Rattus norvegicus: one gene and its partner. The protein of the gene in region 2 interacts with the protein of the main gene of each other region in a pairwise test. Links are inferred from orthologs where the notes say so. Each region holds a gene or a part of one and is shown on either strand. Other genes may lie near its edges.

The links.
Region 1: the proteins of Snip1 (region 2) and Sf3b1 interact in a two-hybrid assay, tested with the Homo sapiens proteins (2 studies listed by BioGRID and IntAct). The link is inferred for Rattus norvegicus from reciprocal best matches to the Homo sapiens genes SNIP1 and SF3B1.

Annotation. Positions count from the first base shown.
Region 1 is NC_086027.1:63,991,879-64,002,485, forward strand, and holds part of Sf3b1 (splicing factor 3B subunit 1), read right to left. Parts: intron 9,245-10,607; coding exon 9,065-9,244; intron 8,713-9,064; coding exon 8,626-8,712; intron 8,529-8,625; coding exon 8,258-8,528; intron 7,992-8,257; coding exon 7,846-7,991; intron 7,747-7,845; coding exon 7,600-7,746; intron 7,305-7,599; coding exon 7,179-7,304; intron 5,229-7,178; coding exon 5,007-5,228; intron 4,586-5,006; coding exon 4,403-4,585; intron 4,322-4,402; coding exon 4,210-4,321; intron 1,760-4,209; coding exon 1,639-1,759; intron 969-1,638; coding exon 837-968; intron 1-836. UniProt on the Homo sapiens protein: Component of the 17S U2 SnRNP complex of the spliceosome, a large ribonucleoprotein complex that removes introns from transcribed pre-mRNAs.
Region 2 is NC_086023.1:142,607,850-142,618,965, reverse strand, and holds the start of Snip1 (smad nuclear interacting protein 1), read right to left. Parts: upstream 5,939-11,116; 5' UTR 5,906-5,938; coding exon 5,694-5,905; intron 4,539-5,693; coding exon 4,436-4,538; intron 1,404-4,435; coding exon 820-1,403; intron 1-819. Other genes in the region: Dnali1 (axonemal dynein light intermediate polypeptide 1), read left to right, coding at 6,998-7,078, 7,554-7,699, 8,883-9,052. UniProt on the Homo sapiens protein: Required for pre-mRNA splicing as component of the spliceosome. As a component of the minor spliceosome, involved in the splicing of U12-type introns in pre-mRNAs. Down-regulates NF-kappa-B signaling by competing with RELA for CREBBP/EP300 binding.

The sequences.
Region 1 (10,607 bases), on a different chromosome or scaffold from region 2:
ATAACCATAAATGAATTCATAAAGCAAATGAATCTATGAATTAGTCTTGGAACAATGCAGTTTTAAAAAAACAGAAAATGAATATAAGATATGAATTATATAGAAATATTATATGTTGAACTAGGTTCAATTCCCAGCACCCACATGGTAGATGGCACTTGGTGCAATTCCAATTCCAGGGCTTCTGACAACCCTCACATACACAAATGAAGATAAAAACCATTAAAGAAAAAAAAAATTTTAAAAGGGGGGCTGGATGCATGGATCAGTGCTCTTCCAGAGAGCCTGGGATGATTTTCAGCACCCACACGGCAATTCTCAACCATCTAATTCCAAATTCCAATCTGACAACGAGTCTGTGGAAACTAGAAGACTGCAGAATACTCACTCCTTACTATTTTAAGCAATATTCCAGCCAGGTTTGATAGTACATGCTCTTGATATGTTTTTAATCTCAGCACTAGGGAGGCAGAAACAGGCTAAGAGCTAAGAGGCCAGCCTCGTCTGTCTATTACATACCAAGTTCCATGGACAGCCAAGATTACATGGATAAACCCCATCTCAAAAAAAAAAAGCAATATCCTAAAGAAGACCAACAAAAACTTGAATGTGCCTCTGAAAATATCTATTCTTCTCTAGGGTAAATTTTAAAGCCTTCAGAGTTCAATCAAAAATTTAAGAAAATATTTTTAAATAGGAAAAGGCAGGTCAGTGTTTAAATAAAATGCTTTTTCTTCAAATGACTAACTATACTCTGCCTCAAAAGATGTCTACATGGAAGTACTTTCGAACACCAATCAATAGGTTTACTATAACCTACTAAAAACACAACTCACCCAATAGCCTTTGCGATATAACCAAATGTATTGACTGTAGCTCTTCGAATAGCTTTTTTGTGAGCTTTTAAAAGCTCTAAAAGTTCAAAGCAAATCCTCATCCACTCTCTTGCAGATACATACTCAGCTCCCCTAAATTAAAAGAAATAAAAAATGCAATTAATGAATTAACATGGTTGTTATCAAGGTATTTTGATGTTTGTTTTTGCAGTGTTGGGGATGAAGCCCAGGGCCCATGAATGCCAAATCGTTCTACTACCAATCTGCACCTCCTACCCTAATCAAAGTTTACAAAGTAAATATGCATATTCAACTCTGAAATCATCACTAACTCATCTTAAATATTAAGTGAAAACTACTATCACCCTTTTAAATAGGTTGACTTGTTAAGTGGTGCCATACAGCTTTAATCTCAGCAGCACTTAGAAAGCATATCGAAGTTCAAACCTGGTCTATATAGTGCGTTCCAAGCCAGCCAAGGATACGGTCAGACCTTGTCTCAAAAGAAGAGAAAAGAAAGCAAGCCTGACTTTGTTTTACAACTATACTGCGCCTTTAATCCCAACATTCGGGAGGGAGGCAGAGGCTGGTAGCTCTGTTTACAGACAGACTGGTCTATAGAGTGAGATCCAGGACAGCCAAAGATACACAGAGAAACCCTGTTTGGGGAGTCAGGGTAAGGGAGGAAGACACCCACACTGCTATTTCCTATTACCACTTAAAGTGAAATCTTGCTAAATCTAAATACTGTCTATACTTGAGAGCTAAATATGTACTTGGTGTTGCTATGTAATCTTCTTACCTGTCAGCAATACGCCCAACAAGATCAATACAATTCTCTTGTACTTTTTCATGTCTGTTCTTTAAGATGGGGGTGAGTCTAGGCAACAGATCTTTAATTGGTGGTGTCATCTTATGCATACCTATTTGACAGAAATCAAGGAACTATTAAAACCTGAATTGCAGTCTTTCATTTTTCCTTTTACAGTACAATGCAAAAATATGAACTCATAAGCTACCGGTGGATAAAAAAGCTCCAGATTCTAATTGGACTTAGAATTCTTAAAAATATTAACAGCTTCTAGTTACATTTAGAAATCAAAGAAATCGGGTTGGGGATTTAGCTCAGTGGTAGAGCGCTTGCCTAGGAAGCGCAAGGCCCTGGGTTCGGTCCCCAGCTCCGAAAAAAAAAAAAAAAAACCCCAAAAAAAAAAAAAAAAAAAAAAGAAGAAATCAGTAAAGTGATTTTAAAAATGAGGGTTACTCAGTAATAGAAAGATTTTATGAAATGTTATTTGTAAACTTACTTTTAAATATGGGAACAGCCTATGTTGTGGCCAAATATAGCAACAGAAGCCAAAGTTAGATCAGATCAAATCAGTAAGGGTCCCTATACCCTGTAACTGCAAAATTAAACAGACCTCCAGTCTCCCTGAAATGCAGGGCACACCTAGGTGTTATTTATTAGATCTATGAAGAGAGAAAGAGGCAGCTAGTAGGCACTCTTGATCTAACTAGAATTATTTGCTCTGATTCTCCACTGCTTTGCTAGACAAACAATATAGTCTATAATTCTGGCAAATCAGAGAACCACGAGTGAGTAAGACTGTTTGGCAAGTCATTGTCTGTATAAATCTGGGCTATATTGGGGGTTCTATATAAATACAACAGTTCAAAGCTCTATACTGCATAATAGTCCTTATTCCTTTCCCCAAAAGGGGGAAAATGGTGATTATCAGCAGTCAGTTATAATGAACTCTTAGCCTTTTCCACCCCTTTCAGTCCTAAACATAGTTTCAACACTATGTGTAAACACAATTAAACACAGAAATCCTTTTGTTTCCTTCATCATAATTCCTTGAAAACAAAAGTTGTCTCTCCATACCGGAGACTGTCCTGTGTAGATTGATGCCATTAGGCAGGTGAGGGCTGGCACGAGTCAGATCAAGGCCATGATTGGACAGTAAAAGAATAAGATGGGGACAAAGTTTTTATAGGGAGGGAGAGAAGGAGGTAGAGGGAGAATCAAAATGGAGACTGGGAAGGATGACCCAGATCCTGGTAGTCCTCAATTGCCAAGGTAGCTGGGGTAGATTTCTATAGGCAAATTTATCTTATGTAGGTGGGCTGTTCACATCCTCATCAACTGGTTGTAAGTTAATTGTGTGGATGTATTGTACATTGAGTATTTAACATATAAATCTGGTTTTTGGGTTACAGTTTGTTGAGTCTTGATGTTGCCAGGTATCTGGGACCAGAGTTCTGAGCTGGCCAGGGTGACTAGCAATGGGAGTGGAGAGACCGCTGGGGCCAGAAGATAGCTAGGTTAACATGGCGTGCTGCCGCACTGAAGCCAGCCGCCGCTGAGATAAATTAAGGTTAGTTATATGGCCCTACAGTGCAAGAACTAACACCAGGGAGTGACCTCCTGGGTTTGAGAGCACCAGGGGCCCAGCATGGAGCAATGACGCTCAGGAACCGGTTGTGCCCCTTTTCTAATAATACTGCACAACGCAACAGTCCTTTGTGTTTTTAATTACAGATAAAAGACAAGACAGATAACTCTTTTTAACCAAGTATGGTTTAAAAGTATGAGTTCTTTGAACTCATAGTAAACAAAAAAAAAAAAACAAAAACAAAAACAAAAAAAACAAAAAAACTCAACAACCAGTCAAAAGACCTAAACATAGGAGAGTAGATAAAGAAAATTTCTAGGGGTTGGGGATTTAGCTCAGTAGTAGAGCGCTTGCCTAGGAAGTGCAAGGCCCTGGGTTCGTCCCCAGCTCCGAAAAAAAGGACCAAAAAAAAAAAAAAAAAAAAATTTCTAAAACTGCACCCTCAGGACTGCGCCTTCCCTTATAGAAAATCCTAGATTATTTTTTAGCTGATGTACTAGTTCTATTAGGGCCTTCTCTCCCATTAACTCAAAACATTTTGGGCTATAACTATTTCTGTACTTTAAATTTCTGTACTAAATTTCGCCTTTAACATTTCTTTTTTTTTTTTTAAAGATTTATTTATTTTATGTACAGCATTCTGCCTGCATATGTGACTACAGGCCAGAAGAGAGCACCTGATCTCATTACAAATGGTTGTGAGCCACCATGTGGTTGCTGGGAATTGAACTCATGACCTCTGGAAGAGCAGTCAGTGCTCTTAACCACTGAGCCATCTCTCCAGCCCTCCTTTAACATTTCTAGGTAAACTATAAATAGACAATAATGAGTGAGATTTTTGTGACATTCTGACAATCCTAAAGTGCTCAAGAAAAGAAGATTAAAAAACAAACTCCTAAATACAACTTTATATTTTGTTTTCAAAACACAAAGAAAATTAAAAGGCCAAACCCTCACATGGCTAGCAAATTCCATACCTATTACATTTACAATAGCCTTCAGTGCTCCAAGAATGCTGCCCAATACTTCAGGGTACTCTTCACCCAGATACTCATACAGCACCACACCCAAGTGCCCCATCAGTTTTTCCTAAATAAAAGAAACATTAAAGATGTTACTTTTCCATTAAGCCACTTGTTCAAAAAAGATTCATCTAGTAGAAAAGATTACCTCTTGACAAGTCTTCATGACAACAGCAGTTCGAGAAATCAAGTCAGCTGCTTGTTGCCTAACTTTTGCTGATTTATTATTCAAACGCCATAAAACTGTACCACAGATCTGAGGCAAGTATGGTTTGACTCGTTTGCCAAGAGCATTGACTACTGTGCCAAAGCCATTCAGCATTACTGAATCCTAAAAGAGAACAGTTAAGTTATATTTAGAATAACAAAAACAAAAATCACTAAAAATATAGAATTTAGTTTTAACCAAAAGTTCATTGTTAAATAACATCTAACCTTTTCCAACCACCCAAACATCCCAATTGTTTTTAAATCAAACCAAAAAAATCAAAGGTAAAAAGAACATTTGTTAAACTGAGGAAAATTGGTCATTAAAATGTCTTTTAAGGGCTATCTGCTGTAAAAAGTAGGTTTTCTACATATATGAAAGTCAATCAAAATGCCACAATAATTAAGTTTGTTAGGGTGATGTCAGCTGGGAAAGTGCCTTCTTCCAAGCCTGATGCCCATTCCCCAGGAAACACGTAGTGCAAGGAGACAACTGACCCCCAAATCTCTCATTTTCACCCACACATGTGGTTGGCTGCCCTTACCTCCGTAGTCTGTTCTTGGAAAGCATAGAGAATGCCATCGATAAGCTGTTCCTCAAGTTTATGGTCAATATCCGCTGCACCTAGATTGCCCATAATTTTCTCAATGGTTTCCATCACCATTTTCCGGTACTGCTCAGCCTCATCCTTCAGATCGTCAACAATCCTAGATATGATCTCTGCCGCGCCCACTTTGTTTGCCAACTCCACAGTTGTATCGACTAACTAAAAGACAAAACAAAACCCTTCAAATCATTACTTTTCCAAGGAAATAAAGCTTACTAAGCTTTCAGTATGAGAGCACCTAGATATGCTGGTTCATGCCTATGACCCCGACTCTCAAAAGACTGAAGCAGATGTTTCACATTCAATGCCAGTCTGGATGGAGATTAGATATCAAGGTCCAGGCCAGCTCAAAACTTAAGATTCTATCTCCAAAACAAAACAATTCAAACTATGCTTGTTTCAGCTAGCTAAAGCTTCAATTTACCAGATAAAACCATCGACTTACAGTTTAGTACTGCTGAGATGGGAGGGTGAGGTAGAGAGACGAAGATTTGAGACCAGCTTATGCTACAAAGTAAAATTTTGTCAAAAAAAAAAAAAAAAAGGAAAGAAAGAAACAAACAAACAAGCAAACAGGGCTGTAGAGAGGGGTCAAACCTTTGAGGTAAAAGGCACTTGCCAACAAATCTGATAACCCCCTGCTCTCTGCTCTCTAACCCTCTTCACACATGCATGCCCCAGGGCATATATACAGACCAAGTAAATGAGTGTAGTTTAAACATAATATAAACATATACACAGGTTGGGCTCAACAAAAGGCTCAGCAGTTAGAGAACTGGGGGTGGAGGTTGGGTTCTTCCCAGAGGACCCAAGCCACATGGTGGCTTCTAACTATAACTCCAAAACCAGATCTGATGACCTAGCCTCTGCAGGCATGACACACACAAAATGGTACACAGATACACATTAAGCAAAACACCAATACACATAAAAACTAAAAACATAAAAGTTTCAAATGTACTAATTAATCAAAATTTTACATTAAATGTATGCTTTAAAAAGGGGGGTTGGGGAGTTGGGGATTTAGCTCAGTGGTAGAGCGCTTGCCTAGCAAGCGCAAGGCCCTGGGTTCAGTTCCCAGCTCCGGAAAAAAAGAAAAGAAAAAGAAAAAAGAAAAAAAAAAAAAAGAGGGGGAGGGGTTGGGGGAGAGATGCGGCTGGAAAGATGGCTCAGTGGTTAAGAGTACTGTTGTCAGGGGCTGGGGATTTACTCAGTGGTAAAGCGCTTGCCTAGGAAGCGCAAGGCCCTGGGTTCGGTCCCCAGCCGTCGGTCCCCAGCTCTTGGGGGGGGGGAGGGGGGGAGAGTACTGTTGTCGGGGCTGGGGATTTAGCTCAGTGGTACAGCGCTTACCTAGGAAGCGCAAGGCCCTGGGTTCGGTCCCCAGCTCCGGAAAAAAAAGAACCAAAAAAAAAAAAAAAAAAAAGAGTACTGTTGTCTGCTCTTCCAGAGGTCCTGAGTTCAGTTCCCAGCAACCACATGGTGGCTCACAACCATCTGTAATAGGATTCGATGCCCTCCTCTGGTGTGTCTGAAAACAGTGTACTTATATATAAAATAATAAATCTTAAAAAAAAAAAGGACAACAAACAAAGATTTTAAGAGGCCAGGTGTGGCCAGGCACACCTTTAATCCCAGGACATGGAAGGGAGCAGCAGATGGAACTGTCAGTTTGAGTTCTACAGTGGGATTTCTAGTAGAGAAATCTTTGTGAGACCCTATCTCAGACAAAAGACAAATCAAACAGAAAGAATGGGCTTAAAATTAAAAATTCCATCTCTGGTCACAGTAAAGTATATGTAAGTATAAATTTTAAGATAGTCAAAAGCAGGGCTGGAGAGATGGCTCAGCGGTTAAGAGCACTGACTGCTCTTCCAGAAGTTCAGAGTTCAAATCCCAGCAACCACATGGTGGCTCACGTAATAAGATCGGATTCCCTCTCCTGGTGTGTCTGAAGACAGTTACAGTGTACTCATATATAATAAATAAGTAAATCTTTTAAAAAAAAGATAGTCAAAAGCAAATTACAGTATGTAATATGCATTTTAAGCAGGTAAAGAAATTGTCAAAAAGACAATCAAAAGAGAATCAAATTATAATACTAAAGGTCACCTGTCGGTAATTTCTTCTATCCAAAGCCATTCTGTGCTGCCAGAAGTGTTTAAAGAAAGGTGGAAGAATCTCTGTCTTAATGTAGTTTGCCTCTACACCATCAGTTCCACAACACTGTTTCACCACCTAAAAGATTAAAAAAGAAATCAAATGCAGCACTGACAAACACAACTGCTGCTCACCCACGAGACCTACACAATCAGACTCAGTTATGAGTAGGTACCCAGACCATTTTCACAATGCAATCCAAATGTTAGCAATGTATTGAACCATGTATCCAAACTGCAATAACTTTTATAGTGTGAAACATAGATTTGTTTTGTTTTGTTTTGTTTTGTTATAAAGATCTCTTTGAACTTCCTAACACATGCACAGTGTGCTAACAAACATGTGCCCACAAACTGAACTACTAATTCCTTACCTTCAAAACAATTTTCTTCATTTCTTCATCAGGAGACTGGAATTCTCGAATAAGGATTAGCATCACTTCTCTAGTATAGTAGTTGGCATATTCTGCATCCATAAGAGGAATAAGATACCCAATAGCCTTCAAGAAAGCAGCCAGACCCTATTTAAAAGTAAAATATATACATATACACATATCAGTACATTAATTTTGGGTTATCTTAATGACTAGCAACAGAAACAGATCTAATGCGCAGATTACCTTTCCTCTATGTTGGCGAATACCCTTCCATAGGGGCTTGAGCACAGAATCAAAAGACTCAATACCATAAGGAGTTGCTGCCTCAGCCAAAGCAGCAATGGCCAGAGCACTGATGGTCCGAACTTTCTGCTGCTCATCCACGAGACCTATACAATCAGACGGTTATGAATAGGTACCCAGACCATTTTCACAATGCAATCCAAATGTTAGCAATGTATGGAACCATGTATCCAAACTGCAGTAATTTATTTTGCAGTACATATAATTTAGACAAAGGCAATTTGTTAACAGAAAATATTACAAACCCCATTTCTAAATATAATGTTTGTGTGAGGAAAGCCTTTCATTTATTTTACATATACACCTGCCCCTATCAGGACAGCTGATCTATAAACGACACATCACCACTTACCATGCTCAATGATTTCAACTAAACTTCTGAGATGTGGCAAGATAGCACAGCCCATGAGAATGGCTATCTGTTGTACAATCTTAATACCAGTGTGCCTCGCTTGCCAAGACTTCTTGCTTTTACACACAGCTTTCAAGAAAGGCAATAAAGAAGGAATGCCCAGAGCAGAGGCTACAACAGCAAAAGCTCTAGCTGTTGTGTTTCGGACATATTCATCCATGTTATCTATATCAGGTCTCATGGTAGAAATCATAGTAGCCAGACCAGCAGCCTAAAAGGAAAAGTTACAACAGCAGCTTTAGTTAGTACCATTAATCCTCAACCCATGGAAAGACAAACTTCCTTTTCTAGGAATTTAATGTGAATACCTTTGCCAAATTAGAAATAATTTCTCGGCCTTCCACTCTAGCATAGTAATCTTCATCAATCAACAGTGGCTCGATAACCACAAGAATCTGAATGAAGGAAAAAGAAAGAATTACATTTCCACATCAATTTATCAAAGACATTTGTTAATGGAGAAATAGATTAAAGAGTTTTAATTCTCTGGCAGTAGTGACACATTCCTTTAATCTGCACTCAGGAGGCAGAGGCAGGTGGAACTGAGTTCAAAAGGGCAACCTGGACTACAGAACAAGTTCTAGGTCAGCCAGGGCTACACACACACACACACACACACACACACACACACACACACACACACACACACACACACACACGAGAATAACAACTTCCATATTCCACACAGTGCAAAATAGAACCAGAAAAATAAAAGTGAAACCATTCAACACTAGAGAACAAACCAACCTTGTGCACATATGGCCGCACCAAGTCATCAAGTTTATACAATATTCTGTCAATAACTTTCACAAGTAAATGTCGCTCTTGATCCTCAAGTGTAGGGGACATCAATAGAGGCAGAATCTGGTTAAACAGTGGTCCAGCTCCAAATTCTCGAGCTTTATCAGTAATCTGACGTAAGGCAGCCTGAGGAAAATCAATGGAAAAGAAAGTTATTTTTTATGAGCAAACACACATTCCAAAGTGGCAAATTTCACCAGGAATAATAATATAATTTGCACTTTTGTAGACAATTTACATACAGTCGTCTGAATTCATTTCTGTAAACTTTTAATATTCAAACTCTAATGGTCTAAGTTCAACACTATCAGCTCATTTAAAGGGGGCAATTAATTTAGTGGCAGTTGAGGTCTGAGGATAACGGTGCTTATCGCAAGACTAACGACTCCACTTCAACCCTGAGATCCAGACAATGAAAGGAGAGAAACAACTTCCAAAAGCCGTCCTCTGAAGCATCCTGGAGCACGACCCTACCTGTCCCCTTCACATATCTATGCACCATGCACACACACATGCATGTGTGTAAAAAATAGATGAGCATAAAAGAAAAAGGGGTAACTTAGAGCACTAGCAAGATTCCTTCCTCAGGGTGTAAAGGGTAATGGCAGGCCACCAAGCCTAATGATCATTTGAGTTCAATCCTAAGAACCCACACAATAGAAAGAAAGAACTGATTCCTACAAGTTATCCTGACCTTCTACCTGTGCTCCATGTGCACATGCCCATAAATAAGATTTTTTTTAAAGATTTATTCATTTATTAAATATAAGTACACTGTAGCTGTCTTCAGACACACCAGAAGAGGGCATCGGATCTCTTTACAGATGGTTGTGAGCCACCATGTAACCACATGGAATTGGGAATTGAACTCAGGACCTCTGGAAGAGTAGTCGGGTGCTCTTAACCACTGAGCCATCTCTCCAGCCCAAGATTTTTTTTTAAATAAAGAAAAGGATAATTTAGTAGAGCTATGGAGCTATCTATACAAGCTTAAACCATATGCCTTAGTTCTGCCTGAACAACCTTCTTCTATGTTCAAGCCACATTTGGTTGTTACAAGTCATAATTTCCACTAATTACCTCTAAGTTCTAAACACTTTAAAGCTGTCAAGGACAAAAAGAATTAGCCATCTCATATCCTTATCAGAACAAAAAACTCCTTTGATTAGAAGTTAAATTCACTGAGCTTGGAGCATGAGTGTGTAATCCCAACCAGTACTCCAGGATAAGAGGCTCCAAAGCTCAGTCCTGCCTGAACAAGCTAAGATCACGCTAAGCAACTTATCAGAGAGCATATACAAAGTCAAAAGGGAAGCAGAGCAGAGTGTCATGTCTTATTCTGCTAATTCCACTACCTGGGTAACTAGGCAAAAAGAATGGCTATCAGTCTAAATTCAGCCTGGGCTACGAGTTTCAGGCCAGCCTGGGATAGTTTAACCAACAAAAATAATGAATATAACAAATCAAACACTAGGACTAGGAATCAGAT
Region 2 (11,116 bases):
AGTTTAGAGCACTTTACATAACAAGGAGAAAAGGCAAAGCTGACTGTGGCTGGTAGATGGCGATGGAGGGCCACAGAGGTCCCAGTGCAGAACTCGAGGCTTCTTGCTATTTACGCAAAGACTTTCTCCAACACTGCACATGATTTCAGCACCAGCCCGAATGAAGGGAAAACAGAATTAGGAACTGAGAGCCAAGGGCTAGATGTGGACAGAGTTTTGCTCTAAGATTGCTTTCTGTACTGAGCTGCAGTTTTCTCTCCTGTTAGATAAGGATGTTACCACTGAACCGCTTTCCTCACAGGTTGAGTATCAAATGGTAAAGATGCATTCCCAAACAGCAGATTCTGCTAGCATTTATCTGGCATCCAGACTCTGGCCTTTACTTATTTCTATTTGGTCCTCAGAAAGCCCTGGGGGCAGGTGGAGACAGGACAGGACCGCAGCAGGAGTCTTTTTAATTTCTCTTTCTTCCTATCATTTATTTGTTTGTTTAGAGATGGGGTCATGGAACATAACCCACACCTAGAGGAGGATATACACCACCAATCCTGCTTAGCCTCCCGAGAGCCAGGATTACAGGTCTACACTGCCACACAATGGTAGGCTAATATCTGGATTTCTGACATCACACTCAAGCCGCTCATACAAATGTCCGGAGATCACCCACAGGTTGTTAAGACTTACAGTACTCCTTCAGTCCAGCTCACTGGACCAGGGGTAATGGGTTCAGCAGCATTTCCACACAGCCAGTCAGCCTTAGGAAAGCTAAGTGAGATGTTCACCCATCTCCCTTTCCAGTCCTCCCTCTGGTCTACCTACCGGTACTGGAAGACTGCATGTTGCTTTGAGCAAGAGGGATGGTCGATAGGAATGTCCGCGATGCGGCGATGTCTCCCCAGCAGGTACGCACTCTGCCGATGGATGTACATGACTGGAAGCACCTCATCATTTTTAAAGGGGTAGAGACGCCACCGTTTTTTGGGGATGCGGGCTTCTGGGGGCTCACTGTATTTAATGACCACACCCCGGAAGGTATTAGTGTCCTCAAGAAGTGCCCCAGAAAGTTCAAAGCTTGGTTTTTCTTTAACAGGCACCTCTTTGTTCTTGTTACCAGCAGGGCGAGGGATCACCTCCTGAGCCTCAGCGCCAGCACTCTCATTCTGCTGGCGGTGCTCCCGGCGCCTGGCATTATTAAAGTCCCTCTCTTCTTCCTGGGCCTGCAGGATCTGGCTGTCTCTATCCCGACCCTGCCCACTGACAGGCCTCTCATCAGAGCTCCTCCTTTGGCGGGCATGGCCCCGGTGCCGATCTCGCTCGCTGTTCCGTGCTCTCCTGTGCTCCTGTTCTGATAACTCCCGGTGCTGCCTATCCTCTCGTCCTCTCCGTGGATGGTCCTCCCGTTCCTGAAATTCAGATGGGATTCAGTAAGGGAAAGATAGCATCCCTTTCTCTGTGAACAAGCTGCAGGAACTGGAGAGATAGTTCAGCAATTAAGAGCACTGACTGCTCTTCCAGAGGACCCATGTTTACTTCCCAACACCCACAAAGCTGTTCACAACCATCTACAACTACAGTTCCAAGAGAATCCAATGCCCTCTTGTGGTAAGTGTGGGCACTACATTATGTGGTGTACAGACATGCATATGCTAAACAATTTCAAACAACAACAGCACATCTGTGGCCTGGATTCAGAACAAATTCCTATCCACACAAGGCTATCAGTGTGGTTCTTTCCCCTGAAGGGCCTTTAGACTTCATATTCCATACTCTTCCTCAAACCCACATCCAGACCCTACCACAAGGAGAAATACCTCTCTCAATCACCTGCAGGCAAACTCACAGGGTAGCAGGTATAGAAAACAGAACAGTCACATGTAAGATATATAAAGGGAAAAGTTAACTTCCTCACAGGCCAAAAGGAGATTGAAATAATCTCAAAAGGTTCAACTTCAGCAATTACAGAAATGATTCAAACATCTATGGATAAACCTAAGAAACACGAACACTTCAAGAAACCTACAAGAAAGTACTACTTGGCAGTTTCCAAATTTCTAACAAAATGGAGGCACATACTGAAAATCAACGTCGCACAAACAGCAATACACAGTCAGTAGATCAATGAGCACAGTGGCGCACACCTTTAATCCCAGTACTCAGGAGGCGGAGGCAGAGCTCTTTGAGTTTGAGGCCAGCCTTGTGTACAGAGTTAGCCAGGGCTACACAGAGACCTTGTTTTGTAAAACAGCAGCAATAGATGGATAAGAAGTCAGTCAGTAAGGTGACAGCTCCAAGTGCAAAGCAGTTTCCAGAAGAAGCCAACACTTAGCCTGACTCTGAAGGGGAGCTTCTTCTAATAACCACAGTACCAATGCTAACAGAAGTAGGAATTCTCTCAGATTAGCAATTCCTGTCAAGAGAGAAGGGACTGCACACCTCTAATCCCAGCCCTCAGGAGTCAGAGGTGGGTGGGTCTCTAGAAGTTAAGAGAATGAGAATGAGACCCTGTCTCCAAAGGGACACACAGGCTTGCATGCACTCCTCTGGTGGAGTTCAGTTGATGGTACACCTTTAATATCAGCACTCAGGAGACTGAGGCAGGAGAATCATCAAGAGTTCTAGGCCTGCCTGTGCTACCAAGCAAGTTTCAGGCTAACTGGGCCTAATTAGCAGGAGATACCCTGTCTCAACTACAAAATCATGCTTTTCCCCCCTGGTTTATTAAGCAAGTCATCAGGATTCAGACATTTTGTAGCACGTGTCAGAATTTTCTTCCTTTTAAGGCTAATATTCCATCAATATGCATACACACATAATGGTAATGGGACTAGGATGCGGGGCTGGAAACAAGCACTTACTCTAAATTTTATCCCCAGCCCTTTTTACTTTTTTTTTTTTTTTTTTTTCCGGAGCTGGGGACCAAACCCAGGGCCTTGCGCTTGCTAGGCAAGAGCTCTACCACTGAGCTAAATCCCCAACCCCTGCCCTTTTTACTTTTGAGAAAGCTTCTTTGTAATATTTTTTTTAAAGATTCATTTTTATATTTACTTTATGTATATGAGCACGAGTACACTGTAGCTGTCTTCAGACACGCCAGAAGGAGGATTCGGATCCCATTACAGATGGTTGTGAGCCACCATGTGGTTGCTGGGAATTGAACTCAGACCTCTGGAAGAGCAGTCAGTGCTCTTAACCCTGAGCCATCTCTCCAGCCTCCCTCAGTAATCTTTTAAAACCAGTATTGACCCCAGCTCCGGAAAAAAAAAAAAAAAAAAAAAAAAAAAACAACAGTATTGAACTTGTGATCTTCTTGCCTCAGTGCAGAATTATATGCACACACCACCACACCTGCTTCTTGTGAGACGTTACTAGGGGAACTGGAAGTCAACTCTGCAGTTAAAAGCACTTTCTCTCCTTCCAGAAGAGCTGGGTCAGTTCCTAGCACCTAAGGTGGCTTGCAGCCAATCTTAACTCAAGTTCTAGAGAATCTGGTACCCTTTTCTGGACCTGTCTGGTATGGGCACCAGACACACACACAGTACGTACACATACGTGTGGGCAGGGAAAGCACTCATACACATGCAAAAAATTTATTTTTTAAAAGATCTGTCTCTGTCACACACATGCACACACACAAATTCTAACATTTACATAGATATATAGACAAGGGGAAAAAAAAGAGGGTAGTGTGGAGAGATGGTTCACTAGTCAAGAGCACTGACTGCTTTTTCCAGAGGACCTGGGTTCAATTCCTAGCACCCACATGGCAGCTCACTCTAGTTCTAGGGCTTCTGAAACCCTCACACCAATGCAGCAAAGAGGGCATTCAGTTTCGAGACTTACTATGTAAATGCGGCAATCAAGTCTGCATGCGATTGGCCAGATAGACATATACCTGAGTTTCAATGTGGAAGTAAAATAATCCAATGGAGAAAACCAATGTCCTTTGAAAAAATGGTACTGCAGCACATGGGCACTCGCAGGCCCAACCATCTGTGACCATCTGTGCTGGTTTAAACAGCACCACAGACAGTCTTCAAACCTAAAGACAGGTTGCATCCAGGAACTGAGAGAGAAGCGGCTGGGCAGGGGGAAAGGAAGAATAAAGGCGGAGAACGAGTCACTGAAGAACATCGGAGGCATCCTGATGGCAGTAAATGTGTCCTGACCAAGACACTGTCCACGGGTGTGTGAGAAGTTACCGCTGGGAGAAATGTGGACATGTTTCCCACTCTGTATTATTTCTGAATCAAATCAACCATTGCTTCCAAATGCTAAGATTTCAGGAAAGACAGCCCCAAATACATATCTGGTTTTTAGAAAAGCTCACTGCAGGGACAATGAAACATGTCTACACACCATGGCTGCAACCTCTTCAGGTCCGGCAACAGCTCTGGACTTGAGTTTCCCATCCAAGGTTCCTGCCCACTCAACTCACCTGCTTCACTTTGACCGTGGAGTAGTGGGGACTCCGGCTTCTCTTAGTCCGAGGAGACTTGCTTCTTCTGCCGGAGGACTTGCTTTTCTTTTTGGCTGGGGACCTTTTCAGAGCATGATACACAGGATTTTTACCTCAATGGCCCTTCCCCCACATAAGTTAGCTTCCAGTATGAGGCTCACCTCCTAAACACAGCACACGTGTGGACTCTGTAGCCACGGCAGGCCTTTACCTTCAATAAACACTTCTCCCAGCCACATACACAACTGCCTGCTAAGCCTCCTCACTTAGACAACCTAATGAACCCCAAAGCCTTAGAAACCTTTCTTTCCCAGTCTGTCATCCTAATTGGCACTACTATCCAGGAAGTCAATCTAGCCTGTTTTTTTCCCTCACATATTTCCTTCTCTAACAACCACATCCAACCCCTTAGCAGGTCTAAGGGCCCCGCCCTGTCCTCCATCCCACATCATTTCTACCAGCCTACAATGCTGCTCCATCACTCAATTCCAGATATGCTGCCTGTTTCATTTTTGGTTTTTTTATTGTTGCTGTTGTTGTTCAACCTTTAAAACAAACAGAATTCCAATTCAAGTTCTGTGCATATATTTCTCTCTCTCTCTCTCTCTCTCTCTCTCTCTCTCTCTCTCTGTGTGTGTGTGTGTGTGTGTGTGTGTGTGTGTGTGTGTGTGTGTGTCTGTGTGTGTGTACAAGCTCAGGATCCTCCTAACTTATGGTCTCCATTGCTGTGTTACAAAGCATGCCCACCACACTGGGTTCTTCCTGGATTCTTCAAAAGAGAATGGATCAATCATATCGGTCTCAGCTTAAAGATCACCTCTGTAGAAGTCCTCACTTCTTTCTACCCAACCTCTCGCTACCATATTACAGTTTTAATTTGTCTTTAACACTAACTGAAATTATCTGTTATTTTCCTTAGGGTTAGAGCATGCCCAATTTCGCCAAGTTGTAAAAGCATCTCTCTTCTTTGCCTTGTGACCCAGTACCTTAATTGATCGTTAAGCCACACTACGCACTCAGTAAATCGATGCTTTATGGAGGCATCGGCGAATGAGTGCCGAGAAGAAGTCGCCAAGACCCACCGTGAAATACTCTTTGTAGGTAGAGTGGAAAAGACATTCCCACCGTCCGCTCGTGGGCAGGCGGGGGAATCTCATTTCAACTCAAAAGGTGCTTTGCACTCCCGAGTCGCTCGCACCACCCGGTCCCCGCGCCATCCCGTCCGCGGCCTGCTTACCGGCTCGCTCCCCGGGCTCGGCTCCCGCGGTGACCAGCCGAGCCCGACTCGGCGGCGGGCGGGGGCGGGCTAGCGGCTGGAGCGTCAGGTCGGCGGTGTGCGACGGGTTCGGGGCTTAGACGTTCCTGCTTCACTACTACGGTCGCCAAAGCGTCGCCTGACCGGTGTCGCCGCCGGCTGCTTCGCTCCCGCTCGCTCTTCCCCGCTTTCATCCTGCGGCCCGGCCGAGAGTCACTTGCACAGTCCGTTGAGCCACTTGAGCCAAAGGAAGTGACGGACCGCTTTGCACTTCCGCTTCCGGGCAGCACGCTATCCCAGAAGCCCTCACGGTGTCGGGCCCCCCTGGTGGGCGGGGCCCAGTGCTTGAGTTCACACCCTGGGAATCCCCGGGCTAGTGGCACTGGGGTCCTGGCTGCTGGAGAGGTGTGGCTGGAATACTGAAAAGTTACGACCAGCCTCCGATCGCAGTAAATTCGAGGCCAGCCTAGGCAATTTAGTGAGACTCTGTCTCAAATTTTGGAAAAGTTGCAGCTCGTGTAGCGCAAAGCCCTGGATTCATCCTCAGCACTGCCAAATACAAATCAGTTAGAAGGGGAGTGAAGGCTGAGACAGAGTGAGCGTTTACCTCGCGTGTACGAAGCCCTGGATTAACCCCCAGGACTTCAAAAAGTGACAATTTTTTTTTCTCGAGACAGGGTTTCTGTTTAATCCTGTCTGTCCTAGAACTCACTCTGTAACCAGGCTGACCTTGAATTAACAGAGATCTGCCTGCCTCTGGCTCCCGAATGCTGTCATTAAAGGTGTATGGTACCATCACCCAGCTTTAAAACAAAAAAGAAAAAATCTTATGTGGGAAAGCTAATCCAGCTCTGTTCGTTGCGCGTTCTTAGTAGTTATGAAACACAGACACGTACTCAACACTGTGAAATTCTTTTTTGTTTCTTGAGATAGTGTCTCTATATAGCCTTGGCTGTCCTGGAACTCACAGAGATCCGCCAGCCTCTGGCTTCCAAGTGCCAATCGTCGCCAAATACTATAAATGACTTTCGTTTCAAGCAAAGGTGGTCTGTCCATTTCATCACATCCCGAATTAGACCTAACGCTAGGGCTCCAATCTTGTTTACCAAGAAGTTTAGTGCTGGTGGAGAAAGCACAGTAGGACAAAACTTGCACGCGGCCGGGCACCGCCTTCCTCCGAAGCCCCGCCCCGTCCATGGGGCAAGGAGCGGAGGGGTTTCCATGGTGATCGCAAACAAGGCTCCACCCGGAGGGACCGCTACGGAGTTGCAACCCCTACAGCCACCATGATACCCCCCGCAGACTCTCTGCTCAAATATGACACCCCGGTGTTGGTGAGCCGGAATACAGAAAAACGGAGCCCCAAGGTATGAACATGTCTCAGGAAATGCGAGATCCTACAAAATCCCGTGGGGAAAGACATCCCAGGTTTGAGGATCTCTGGAATTTCAGGAGACAGATTGCTAGGGCTGACAGCCAAGGGAACTTGGACAAGGATGGAGGTTGGGAGAAGACTACAAGAAGCCTAACTGTGACCCTAGAGGACAAATTTAAGATGAGAAAGAAGTCACATGGAAAAGATGAGGCTTGTGGTAGTGAGGTCCAAGAACAGGTCTGGTTGTGACTTACCTATGTCTACACAGTCAGAGCAGAGGCCTTACCACCATTCTAGAAACACCAGTTCAAATACAGGGACAGAGCCAGACATATCCCTCGTGGTCTTCTGCGCTCCTGTTTATTTAGAGACCACAGATGAGGGAAATAGGCCGGAAATGGGGAAAGCTCGACAAGAGACTGAGGCAAATCTGGAGGGACTGGACTGACTCACCTGTTTCTTCTTAGGCTCGGCCACTGAAAGTCACAGTTCAGCAGCCTGGACCCTCTGGTGCAGGCCCACAACCACCCAAGGCCAAGCTGCCCTCAACTTCCTGTGTCCCAGATCCTACCAAACAAGCAGAAGAAATCTTGAATGCCATCCTGCCTCCAAGGTAGAGAGAGAGGGATGACTGGGAGAAGGTTTAAGCTCTTGGCCCCAGAACATAGGTGTCTCCCTGTGTTTTACCTTGGATTTCCCCTAAGCTTTCTGGAGTTCATGGAGTCTCATATGGCTGGATGCTCATAGCCAGGCAGGCACCCTCTAAAACCATGCCCTCCACGTTCTGAGCACTCTCGTGACTTTAGATGTCTGCTTTCACAGTTGGGTCTTCTTAGCTCAGACCTGTTCCTCCTAAACCCCCTTCCCGATACTCTGTTTCTTTGGTATCTCCATCAAGATTCCTCATAGAGAGTTTAATCCCAGCACTCTGCAAGACACAGGAGGATTGCCTCAAAGTCAAGGCCAGCCTGGACTACAGAAGGAGTACTAGACTGGCCAGTGCTACATAACAAAGTGTGTCTCAAAAGCCCGTAAATGTTCAATAAGGCTAGGCCCAGTGAGCTCACCTTTAATACCAGAACCCAGGAGGCAGAGGCAGGAAGAGTTTGAAGCTAACCTGGGCTACACAGCCTCGCTAGAACTCTCAGAAACCTCCGCCTAATGGGCTTATTTATGTCCACAACAAAAAAGCTTTCTCTTGGATTAAAAGAACCAGAGAACCTGTGAACTTCTCCAGAGATGGAGGCCGAGAGAGAGAGGTGTCACGTATGAGTGGATTCTCTCCCACCAACATAGAAGCTTCTCCCTCTCTTGCCATTCTGCCTGCAAGCCCGTCATTGCAGAACTCGGCTGTTCCTCCAGCACAGAATTCATCATGGGCAGCCATTGCAAGTGCAGCACTTTAAGAACCTCCATACTCCCAACATACACAAATGCTTCCTAGTGGCTTGCACGAGGTTTATGGTGTTCTGTGTCTTCACCATAAGCCAGTGTAGGGGGGTTTCCACCACATTCTCCATTCAAATCAAGCAGCATGACCACACATCTGTCCTCAACATGCTAGGCAGGTATGACCTGGAGCAGAGGGTTGTAGTCTCGTGGAGAATAGAGAGTGCCCATCTGCCCAACAGTAAGGTATGTGTCCTGTGGAGGCTGCATAGTGGACGTGGCTCAGGAAAGAGAGGGAGGCAGAAGTGACAGGATGGCTATGCTGCCCACCCCCACTCCCTGCTCCTGCCCAGGCAGAGTTCCAAGGGCCCTCTGCTCAGGTCTGGTGGCTTGTATCTGTGTCACAGGGAGTGGGTAGAAGACACACAGCTATGGATCCAGCAGGTGTCCAGCACACCCAGCACCAGAATGGATGTGGTGCATCTCCAGGAGCAGCTGGACCTGAAGCTGCAGCAGAGGCAGGCCAGGGAGACGGGCATCTGCCCTGTGCGCAGGGAACTCTACTCCCAGTGTTTTGGTGAGTAGCCTTGGTGGTGTGTTTGCCACACACTCTCTACCTCCTTCTAGCCAAAAGCCAAGCCCTGAGTATTCCAAATGATCCCCACCCCCCATTCAGAAATCATCCCTTCTCCTTCTGCCTGATTTCCCTACAACTGCTAAGTCTACTCCCTTCCATTCCTAGCCTAACCTCTCCACCTCAGCCACTCATCCATCTTTCGTGGTCACTGGGGTGCCTGATCCCTCACGGGGTTTGGTTCTTATTTAGATTTAGATTTATTTGGGTGTGGGTGTGCATGTGCACACAGGCATGTTTTCATGAGGGCCCATGTGCATGGCATGAGTGTGGAGATCAGAAGACACCTTGCAAGAATTGATTCTGGGGGTTGGGGATTTAGCTCAGTGGTAGAGCGCTTGCCTAGCAAGTGCAAGACCCTGGGTTCGGTCCCCAGCTCCGGAAAAAAAAGAAAAGAAAAGAGAAGAAAAGAAAAAAAAAGAATTGATTCTGTCCTTCTACCAGGCTGATTCTAGGGAATGGCTCAGGCCATCAGGCCTGTCTTTACCTACTGAACCATCTCACTGTCCCCTCCCCTTGATGGGTATTTGGAGTAAGGTAAGAACTTCCACTTTAGCCAGATATGGTGGCATATGCCTTTAATACAGGCCCTCAGGAAGTAAAGGCAACAGATCTCTCTGGCTTGAGGTCAAGCTGATCTACATAGTGAGTTCCAAGTTAGCCAAGTCTACCTCTAAAAAACAACTTTTAACTTTGAGTCTTTTTTTTTCAAAGATTTCTGTAATAAGTCTATGCTAATTTTGTAAAGACAGGGTCTCAATATGTAGCCCTGGCTGGCTTGGCCTCACAGAGCTCTGCCTGCCTCTGCCTCCTGAGTGCTAGGGTTAAAATAAAGGTGTGTCATTGCTCCTGGCATAACACTTTTAAAAACAGATTTATTTATTTTATGTCTGTGAATGCTCTATCTGCATGTACACTTAAAAAAAAAAAACAAACTCCGCTCAGCCCATATTCCAGAACAATGCTGCTGTCATTTGTACTTGGATGATGTGAGACTTGAAGACGTGCCTGATGTGCCCACTGAATGCTGATATCAATGGCTACCCTCTGCTCCGTCACCCTAATGCTATGGGCTCCCAACTGCAAACTCTCCCAACCTCTCAGGCAGATTCAGATTCAGCACACTGGCTTTAGCCTGCTAAGTGTGAGTGTGGCTTGCCCTCCAATTTGGAGACTTATAAAGGGAGAGAAGCAAGTTCTTGACCCTGCTGCTCTTAGTCCCAAACCAGTCTAGCAAAGAGGAGCCGATCCCCTCTCCCCTCCTTCCCCACAGACAGGGTTTCTCTGTGTAGCCCTGTAGACCAGGCTGGCCTGGAACTCAGAGATCCGACTGCCTCTGCCTCCAGAGTGCTAGAATTAAAGGCATGCGCCACCACTGCCCAACTTAACAGCAGCATTTTTAAACACCACCGTTTGAGAATGCTAGTTCATTCTATATCTGCTTTGTGCCTGAACATGGAAGCGAGGGGGACCAATTGCCACAAACACACCTGACGCTCTAGTCCCTCTCTCCATGCCAAGCTCACTGATATGCTTCTTCCTTTTCTTTCTTTCTTTCTTTTTTTTTTTTTCCCGGAGCTGGGGACTGAACCCAGGGCCTTGCGCTTGCTAGGCAAGCGCTCTACCACTGAGCTAAATCCCCAACCCCGACATGCTTCTTCCAAGAGGAGTGGCTGTGCGGCCTTTTCTTTGGATCGTGGAAAGCACCCTGTCATAGGGCCTTCTTGTAAACCATATATTTGGTTTTTGGGTCTGCTGTGTGCATATGTGCATATGTGCATATGTGCACATGTGCATGTGTGCATGTGTGTATAGTCATGTTCGAACGTGTGTGCACAAGTCAATGTCAAACCTCTTTATCATTCTCTGCTTCTTCTTTCAAGATAAAAAAAATTAACAAAACAAAACAAACAAAAAAAACCAGCCTTATGTGTGTGGGTGTTTTTACCTGTGTATGACATCTGTGCAGTTCTGAGGAGACCCAAAGAGCACATTGAATACCCTGGA